Drosophila melanogaster: one gene and its partner. The protein of the gene in region 1 interacts with the protein of each later gene in a pairwise test. Each region holds a gene or a part of one and is shown in the gene's direction. Other genes may lie near its edges. The genes, in order: yellow-b and Or85a.

Evidence for each region.
Region 2: the proteins of yellow-b (region 1) and Or85a interact in a two-hybrid assay, tested with the Drosophila melanogaster proteins (one large-scale study listed by BioGRID).

Annotation. Positions count from the first base shown.
Region 1 is NT_033779.5:16,752,439-16,759,093, forward strand, and holds yellow-b (yellow-b), read left to right. Parts: upstream 1-1,897; 5' UTR 1,898-1,960; exon of another isoform or gene 1,961-2,140; intron 2,141-3,244; 5' UTR 3,245-3,260; coding exon 3,261-3,525; intron 3,526-4,530; coding exon 4,531-5,627; 3' UTR 5,628-5,845; downstream 5,846-6,655. Other genes in the region: ppk17 (pickpocket 17), read right to left, coding at 5,912-6,070, 6,129-6,242, 6,300-6,450, 6,515-6,645.
Region 2 is NT_033777.3:8,319,914-8,323,833, forward strand, and holds Or85a (odorant receptor 85a), read left to right. Parts: upstream 1-1,833; coding exon 1,834-2,594; intron 2,595-2,654; coding exon 2,655-3,012; intron 3,013-3,066; coding exon 3,067-3,141; downstream 3,142-3,920. Other genes in the region: Poxm (Pox meso), read right to left, coding at 1-999. UniProt on the Drosophila melanogaster protein: Odorant receptor which mediates acceptance or avoidance behavior, depending on its substrates. The odorant receptor repertoire encodes a large collection of odor stimuli that vary widely in identity, intensity, and duration.

The DNA of each region.
Region 1 (6,655 bases):
CCACACAAAACCGTTCCACGAGCGTAAATGTCTGCTGCGTCCAGTCGAAAGCGTGTCACATTAATTTTGCTGAGCGAAGAGTCCCCTGCGTCCGTGCTGCCCCCTTCTATCTATCCATATTAATATATAAATAAGTGGTATATATGTCTATCTTTGGATTATGTTTTGCATGGCGAGAAGAGTATGCCTTCCGACCACAAAGTACAAGTTCGAATCGGACGCAGGCGATGTGCCGTAGCTTGGTCAGCAGATATACGGCCTGGTCCGGTATATTGTAACTCTGAGGCGAGGGCACATCACAGTTATGGAAGTAACTGTTGGACTTTTCGGTCCTTGTCTTGCGACCACTCAATCGTTATATCCACACGCATAACACCACTACTATAATATAACTTTATAACTGAATCAGACGAACCGCATTCGCATACAACGCGTCTAGTTCAATCCACACAAACCGGCGGCTGAATCACCAACCACATCGATCACCACACCACTTCTCAAAGCATTCGTGCAATGATGGATCTGAAAGAGATTTACTAGAACGTTTGGTTACACATTTTGTTCAGTGTTGATTTACTCATTTATCAATATGAAATTAATCAATAATGCTTTGATAGTTGCAACTACTTTGTTTGGGAAAGTATTTCAAGATCGAATAAATTTCAAACTAATAAACGATAAGAATTTCTTTTGCCAAAGATCTTTGAAGCTTTCGACCAAAGATTTTTTTTTTATAATTAATAATAATCTTTGATTAAATATAAATGTTAACCGTGTTTATATTTCGCATAAGCTTTAAACATTTTTGTTGCATTTACTTTTAACTAAAGCTTACGGAACTAACTAATCAAATTTTCCTTATCCATTTCTGTTCGTTCCACAAATAATCACACAAATACTTAGCTAATGCCTATACTTTATTTAGAGCAAATGCATAAAATCAAAAACCAACAAAATTGCCTATGTTAAATCATTTTTAATGTTGTCATGTAAATGAAAAGATGCAAGATCAAGGATTAAAAACAAAAAAAGAATATAGCATTCTTGTACGTAAAATGTTTTTACCAAACCACAAAGAAAGATAGTATACAACAGCAAGTTATATAAGCAATTGTTTAAATTCTTTTTAACTATACAAAAAGCAAACAATACTATTAGGAAAACATATAAAATGCATAAAAGTACTATTTCTAGTTTAATGTTTCGATTGTTCTCTATTCTTTTGAAATTAATTTATTGACATTTTAAATAAAACAAATAAAAGTGAACATCATGCGTTTTCTTTCATCGATTTTGTTTCAGGTTAAAACTGATTCATAAAAAGTGTGAAACTGAAAGCTAATATTATTATTAAAGGGAACTTGCATTCATATCTTGTATGGAACGGCCACAAAATGGATGACTCATTGGGATATCCCCATTTTAACCAAGGCACTCATTCTGTCAGTTAGACAATCGGACGACCGGAACATTCCATGATGATAAACCAACAAATTAATTAAAATTTAATTTCAAATATTGATTTAATACAAGAAAAATTACTCGGACATGGGCTTGTCTAATATCTTTTCACATTTATGGGTCAATCATGAATACACAGTAGGCCTACAAGCTACAAGTGTGGGAGTTTTTTCAGGGGCTTGTCAATCGCGGGGCCACAGCTGGAGATTTTAATGGATGGATTAGTATGTCCATGGTGTGGGAGCTATGCATAATATTTGTGGGATAGCCCAGGGAGCGTGCCAAAAACTACTTTAATTCATAGCCAACGTGCTAAACCGTCTTACGGGCTGACTAATTCAAGTTCAGTCGAATTCCAAGAGAGCCGCTTGGAGCGGGAACCACTCACGCAGACCGGTCTCCAATGGGTTGACTTGTCTGGCGGCTCACTTGACTTTTAGTTTCGTTTCGAGTCTCGACACTGGCGGTTGTGTGCTGCTCTTTGGTTGATCATAAGAAGGTGTGTTAAGTGCCGACCCGAACTGTTGACATTTGGTTAAGATTTGTCAAGTAAATCACATAAACATATGTATTAACTCCGGTGATCATAAAAGCGAAGCCAGGGCCAAACGAAAGATTCAAGACACAAACTTAGAGGCAGCCAGGTGACAAGGCTTGCATAACTGGAGCTGACCAAAAAGTGTGTTTTCAATACTCTTTGAACCATTCACAATTGTAAAAAAAAACAATAAATATGTATCAGCAACAAAGCAAACAAAAAACACGTTAAGTAATGGCAATAAAAAAAGGGATAGATGGAAAATCCCGTGGCCATACCATTAAAATCCATTAATAATGATACAACATTTGTGATTACATACGGCTAGCTTAGACACGCCCACAATAAAAAACGGAAAGTATATTTTTACAGCTGACTCACGAAAATAACTTGAAAATTCACCATCGAGAAGAGTCCCAAATCGAAAATACACTTTATTTGAGGAACAAACGAAAGATATTGGCGGTCACTCCGGAGTGCGCATTTTGAAATGCTAATGGTTGAACTGCGAGGCTCAACTTGAAATTGATGATGAGGTCGAGTGTTTCGGACAACGAGTTAGAAAAAATGAAAGATACCCTAAAAATAAAGATCGAGTGAGGTGGTGGCAGTCAACTTGTAAACAGTTGGTTATGGAGAAAGGTTTAGTTTGAAGAGCACTTAAGTTGTAGTAGATCGTTCTCATTTTTTGTTTAGAGCAAAATAAAAAGCGAAAAAATAAAAAAGGGTAAAGAAAACATCGGCCAACTTCCTTGGCCACGTTCTGATCTTGTTCGTTAGATAATATACCTCAAGTCTCGCTTTTAACCAGAAATTAAACTTTGTGGTTTGGCAACTGAGTCAAAGTTTTGGCCGACCAAAGGCAACTTTCAAATGCCGAAGTGAACCAAAGCGACATAAAGTGTGAGTCACACGGAGCATTAGAAGGCCAAAAAGGCTGGTCCAAATGACATAATTTAAGAATTTATGAACATTAGAAGAAACAAATATACTGAGAACTAAATGTGATGGAAAATTAAAGAACCCTACTCATACTATGATTGAAAAAGTATGTAAGCACTTTTGTATCTACGATTTGTTTGTGCCCAATTCAGCAGTTTAATGCTACCATATTAAATGAATCTTAATTTGGTTTTTTTCGAGTGTTTGATCTGGTTGCGTTTATGGCTTGGACAAGGCCGTTGCGGCTTAACGGAAGCTTAAATGAATAGAGCAGCGTTTATTAATTGATTTTGGTATTTGCAGTGAATTTATTGGAGACATGCTGCGATTCAGATTAGGCCTGCTACTTCTGTGGGCGGTCTCTGCCCTGGCGAACGACAATCTTCGCGTAGCGTACGAGTGGCGGGAAATGGACTTCAAGTACGCCAATCCAGACCAAAGATGGTCGGCCATCGAGCGGGGCGAGTTCAAGCCGGCCAATGTGATACCCTTTGGCCTGGAGGTTGCCGGCCACCGACTCTTTGTCACCCTGCCCAGATGGAGGGACGGAGTGCCGGCCTCGTTGGCCTACCTTGATCTTAATGGTAAGCGCTTGAGTTGCATTGTTGCAGCTGCCACAGTACATGAATTTGAATATAATTGCCCCATGCAATTGCACTATGTGTGCCAAGAGCTGATCTGAGATCTCAAATCTCGGATCTCACAGCTCGGCAATTGTTTTGGTCGCGTCTGATGGCGCTTCTGATCAACTTGACCATCCGAACAATTCCGTTTCCTTTCGCACTTGCGGCAATTAGCATAGTAATAACGCTCGCTGACGTTATTAGCTGTCTGACATCAACAGCATGCCACAAATCGGTGCATACTAGATGTATGTATTTATGTGTACATATCACTTGGGGTTCTGTGTGGGCTGCGAAGTACACTTGTACAATAAACAGTCACATTTGGCCAATGCAAGTGTATCAAGTACATATAGTATCAAGTTGTTAAATTATCGCCGTTGTTTTCATTTTGTAAAACTTCTTGAATAGAACAAAATTAACATTTATTTTTGCACTTATCGAGAACTTTTCTTATATTATAATCTGCTAATTGGAATATTCCTGGCGAATCGTTGTAAATATAAAGTTACATTTCCTTTTACTGCTCAACAGCAAGGCCAGTGGGCAGTTGATTTAGCCACAACTCAATCAGAGCTCATTAGCAAGTTAATCAGTTTAGACAATTGCACTGAAAAGCAGCAGTGCGAATTACTCACCAACAGGCAACAAATACATACATACACAAACATTTTGTGAGCAATCCAATTAGCAATGCAAATGGCCAAATTTAAATACAACAAGGCGAATAAAATGACTGCTGACGAGAGAGATCAATAAACCTTCAAATATAATATATTATATATAAATATATATCAACAGAATATATATACAACGAATGTAAACTTATATAATATATTATATTAATGTAAAGTAATAGCGTTAATTGGTCTCACTTTAGATGATTATGTCAGGGATAAAATTAGTTGTATTAAACATGAGTTATTGTATTTTATTAAGCGTTCTATTTTGATGTATTTTATTCAGATACCTCCAGCAAGGGTCCAGCCTTGAAGCCATTCCCCAGCTGGCAGGCTCACAATCTCCAGGAAGCCGAACCGGAATTGGTTTCTCCATTCCGCGTGCGAGCCGATAGATGCGGACGCCTGTGGGTGCTCGACTCTAGGATCTCCGGAGTCCTGGAGCAGACCAAGATCTATGGAGCAGCCCAGCTGCTGGTCTACGATCTGCACAATGATGATTTGTTGAGACGACACGTTTTGCCCGCCGGTCAGTTGAAGCAGGGATCTTTACTGGCCAATCTGGCGGTGGAGGACTCTGACTGTGAGAATACCTTTGCCTACGCAGCCGATTTGGGCAGTCCCGGCTTGGTGGTTTACTCATGGAAGGATGAGGAATCGTGGCGTGTGCAGCATCACTTCTTCCACCCAGATCCAATGGCCGGTAACTTCAGCATCAATGGCATTGAGTTTCAATGGGATGATGGCCTATACGGACTGGCTCTATCGAAGCCCCTGGAAACGGGCTATGCCACATTGTACTTCCATCCCCTCTGCTCCACTACGGAATTCTCGGTGGATACATCGATATTGCGTAACAAGACCCTGGCCACTTCGCCGATGATTTATCGAGAATTCAAGGTGCTGGGCTCCAGAGGACCGAACACCCAGGCTGGAGCCGAGTTCTTGGATCCGGATACCGGAGTCCTATTCTACGCCCTGCCCAATCTGAACGAAGTCGCCTGCTGGCGCACTGCCACAGACTTTAGTCACAGTTCCCAGAGCCGCATCCACATGAACAATGATACCTTGGTGTTCCCCAGTGACATCAAGGTTGATGATCAGAAACGTCTATGGGTCCTATCCAATCAGCTACCCGTCTTCATCTACGATGAACTGTACGCCGGCTCAATAAACTTCCGTATCCTGACTGCCAGTGTTAAGGAGGCCATTGAGAATACAGCCTGTGAAATTAGAACTTCCCCTCTGCCAGATGTAATCAACAAACTGGGGGATATTCTCAATACTAACATCAAACTGAAGTCCAATTCGGCTTCTTCCCTTAGGAACCTCAGCTCCCTTATGCTGATTGCCTTATGTTTGCTGATGAGCTTTAGAATCTAGATTCCCGCAGCGGTACAAAAGTATCTTGCGCACTTGCGAACGAAAATGTTTTATGTTTTTCAAGAACAGAGAACTTGAAAAATTTCTGTAATTTTAGCATTTTCACTGATTTCTTAAACGTACGAAATATTTTTATTTGAGTGCAATTGTAATCTGTTAAGATGTAGGCTTAGAAAACTTAAACGTTGTACGTGAAGTTGATTAAATGTAAGAAGTGTATTTGAATAGTTTTCTTTATATGTACTTCCCACTTATTGCAAATCCAAGCCAGCTTGGTTATTGACTCAATATTTGGGTTGCTTTTCCTTCTTTTTATAGGCAATTTCTACATCGATGGTCTCATCGCTGGTTTGTGATTGACCATCCTCGGAGTTTGCCTCTAACTTTGCCTGCTCCTTCTGCTGCATCCTCTTAATGAATCCGCCACAGAAAAAGAGCATCATCTGAAAGGATGTCAAATACCTTGTTACTCTGCCAGTTTGAATGTGGACTTGGTCTTACATGCTCCAGTATTCCAATCAATCCCAGGACAGACAAGCCCAGTAGAAAACCAAGAGAACCACCCACATCGGCTATGAATTGTGTGGTGTCATAGCTGGGACGCTCTTCAATCATCTGAAAATGTTAACGGGCTCAGTGAAAGATCGATGCATCATAACATTATTAACCTACCGATATCAGTTTTGTTGTATAGTATATGTAGATTTGGGTGCGTGGCTCTGGTTGATTAAAGGCCTTTCTGTTCTGAATGAAAGTTGTGTATATTCTCGATTGGCAGGGCTGAACACAGTCACAGTCAAAGTCATCCTCATTTTCATAGACACTGAAAGAGAAAATAGAAAATACATACTTACATACATAATAAAACACTAATGCTTCTGTCTTACTCTTTATAATCCGATATCAGTTTCCTCATGGAAAGGGAGTCATTGCAGGGCTCACTTGCAATCTCATGCATCCAAGGACCCGAACACTGCATATTATCGGCTAAATCCTGCCAGATGCATTGTTCACCACACTGAAATGGT
Region 2 (3,920 bases), on another chromosome or scaffold:
CCGCCCCACCCTCGCAGTCGAGCAGTGGCTGACCACCGGCCGTTCCCGCCACCGGCGAAGGAGTCATCGGCAGCGGGGATACCGTACTGCCCATGCCGCCCATTCCACCCACTCCGACGCCCACTTGGCAACTGGCGCGCAGGGCAACAGCCTGATGGTGGGCCAGGATATCGCTGACCGAGTGGGAGGAGGGCCAGTGGGCGGCAGCGGCTGCGGCGGCCACACTCCTCAGCTGGTGGGGATGGGGCACTGATCCCTGACCGCCCGCTCCCTGCGGCGGGGATGGACTTCCACAGGGCGTCTTCATGCTGTAGGCCGCCGCAGCACTGTACGGCTGGTAGATGGAGTTGTACAGGTGGGCGTGGGCATGGGCGTGGGCGTGCACATGATGGGCACTTGCCGCCGCCGCCGCTGACTGATGATGATGATGGTGGTGCGGATGGTGCGGTCCACCGCCGGGATTACCCAGATTGCTCAGATTAATATTATTGCTGGCACTCGTGCCATTGTTTTGTCCACCATTGCTGGACACACTGCCGCCACCGCTGCTGCTTCCGCTGCCCATCACCGTTCCCGGCGTGTGCTGATGCCCCAGGCTGCCCAACTTGTTGCGCAGGATTCTCGATATGGAGCTCACACTGGGTACATTCGTTTTGTCGCATATGCCCTCGCTGAGCAAACGGTCCCGGATTTCCCACGCAAAGATGCCGGGATCTCGCTGCTTCAGTTCCCTGATGTAGTTGACCACCTTGGGTGTGGTCACGCGCGGCTTGGATCCCCCAATTGCGCCGGGTAGTATGGAGCCCGTTTCGTGGTACCTGGCCAGGATCTTGGACACGCAGCCGTGACTCACTCGCAGCTGGCGCGATATGTCGCAGGGTCGGATGCCCAGGCGGGCCAGCTCCACGATCCGCATCCTGGTCGCATTGGGCAGCGGACGGCCGTTGACAAAGACGCCGCCCAGCTGGTTCACCTCGCCATACTGCGGACACTGCGACTCTGCAAAGAGAAGATTGCGGATTAGTTAGGTTGGTAACATAAAGGAATAAAGGAAGTGTCTATACATTTTAACATAAATATGAAAAACTGTTTTCGGAAACTGTTCATATGCCAGAGTATGCCACAGTATCATCCGAAAGCTATTCCCGGTTCCCAGTACAAAATGCGAACAAAGAGCGTTGCCTGGGAATGGGAAGGCGAACAAAAGCACATTTGCGTCTAATTAGTTTCGGTGGCAAATGAGTGAGCCGAGTGGCTAGGAGTGGGACCTGCAGAAGCGGTGGAGCGGCGGAGCGGAGGAGGATTGGCGAGCGGCAGCCCAAGTTGAGTGGAGAGCCGTTTGTTCGGCTGAAAATCGCTACCATTTGCTTCTTAGAACTGCGGATGTGGGTGCCCCGATTGTGACTGGGAAAACACAATTTGAATGCCCGGAACGTGCGGAAATGCACTTTGAGCGATGACGCAAAGATTTCCCCTTGGCGCATAGAACACTACTTAAGGATAGGTGCACATGGGTGTATCCTATTCTTGAGATTGAAGAATGATTAAGGTTCAGCAGAGAAGCTATTTTCACAGGACCATAAATAAAGTAATTAACAACCACTCCTGCGAAAGGGACAATATGGGAACAATTGTCAATTATTTAAGACATGAAGACACACCCCTCAAAACAACCTGTGCAATTTTGCACGCAAATAAAGGCGGTTCTTTTCGTGAATAACTAACTAGCATTGGACAATTAAACAACGCGTATAAATGCAACTAGTTTAGGGTACTGCCCTCAGTCTTCAGGTGACAAAGTTCAAGTCAATCGAAACCTCTAAACTTTCAAAAATGATTTTTAAGTACATTCAAGAGCCAGTCCTTGGATCCTTATTTCGATCCCGGGATTCGCTGATCTACTTAAACAGATCCATAGATCAAATGGGATGGAGACTGCCGCCACGAACTAAGCCGTACTGGTGGCTCTATTACATTTGGACATTGGTGGTCATAGTACTCGTCTTTATCTTTATACCCTATGGACTGATAATGACTGGAATAAAGGAGTTCAAGAACTTCACGACCACGGATCTGTTTACGTATGTCCAGGTGCCGGTTAACACCAATGCTTCGATCATGAAGGGCATTATAGTGTTGTTTATGCGGCGGCGATTTTCAAGGGCTCAGAAGATGATGGACGCCATGGACATTCGATGCACCAAGATGGAGGAGAAAGTCCAGGTGCACCGAGCAGCAGCCTTATGCAATCGTGTTGTTGTGATTTACCATTGCATATACTTCGGCTATCTATCCATGGCCTTAACCGGAGCTCTGGTGATTGGGAAGACTCCATTCTGTTTGTACAATCCACTGGTTAACCCCGACGATCATTTCTATCTGGCCACTGCCATTGAATCGGTCACCATGGCTGGCATTATTCTGGCCAATCTCATTTTGGACGTATATCCCATCATATATGTGGTCGTTCTGCGGATCCACATGGAGCTCTTGAGTGAGCGAATCAAGACGCTGCGTACTGATGTGGAAAAAGGCGACGATCAACATTATGCCGAGCTGGTGGAGTGTGTAAAGGATCACAAGCTAATTGTCGAGTGAGGAAGAATGGAATACTCTTTGCAGAATGCCATAATCCACTCAATTTTCCTCATTAGATATGGAAACACTCTGCGTCCCATGATATCCGCCACGATGTTCATCCAACTACTATCCGTTGGCTTACTTTTGGGTCTGGCAGCGGTGTCCATGCAGTTCTATAACACCGTAATGGAGCGTGTTGTCTCCGGGGTCTACACCATAGCCATTCTATCCCAGACCTTTCCATTTTGCTATGTCTGTGAGCAGCTGAGCAGCGATTGCGAATCCCTGACCAACACACTGTTCCATTCCAAGTGGATTGGAGCTGAGCGACGATACAGAACCACGATGTTGTACTTCATTCACAATGTTCAGCAGTCGATTTTGTTCACTGCGGGCGGAATTTTCCCCATATGTCTAAACACCAATATAAAGGTAAGATAATATCATACAAAACCATTACATTTTATTGTAAACAAAATCTTTCAGATGGCCAAGTTCGCTTTCTCAGTGGTGACCATTGTAAATGAGATGGACTTGGCCGAGAAATTGAGAAGGGAGTAATTCGGTTTAGTGCCACAAATTTGATCAACTCAATTTAAGAGAGTAGTTTCACTTGTGCACAATCAATAAATGAAAATATATAGAATGATTATATAAAATTTAAATGTGTTGCAAACATTATGGCAATCTATTAGATATCTGGAAAATCAGTTTGTACTTTCGTTATCATAACTTTTCTGGCAAACAAAGCACAACTGAAACTTTACTATAATAGCTTGCCATTATATGGTGTCAAATGGGTAGCCCTCTTATCTGGAGACTGGAGGAGTCTCCTCCTCCTCCTCCTCCTCTTGGCACCTGCCGCTGGAGCTCGCTGCCCGTCTGAAACTGCCGTCCGGTCCATTACCATTATGGGCAGTTGGAGGCACTGCTGCACATCTGCGCCGTCTTCTAATTTCGAATCGTGTTCCACAACAGCAACTCCAAGTGCAACACGTACTGGAGAGTGCAGCGCCATAAAAACCGCAATAGAGCTCCCGGGTTACTCGTGGCGGCAATCGCAACAAATCAGGAAGGAACCGGATAAAGGAGCGATAATGAACCGAGAGACGGAGTATATCGACCTCGATGCTGCTCCATTCAGGAGGCTATTCGCGACTTACAAGCTCGTTTTCCCGCTGCTTTGATATCGCATTACCATCCCACTTGTTGCCCGACATTATTCCCCGATCCCCCAATCCCCCGACTTCTCCACTCCCCCACTTCCAACGATCCCCGGCTAATGATCCCCAACAGTGTCGAATTTCGTGTACATAGTTTATGGTTATGGATTTGCGCAC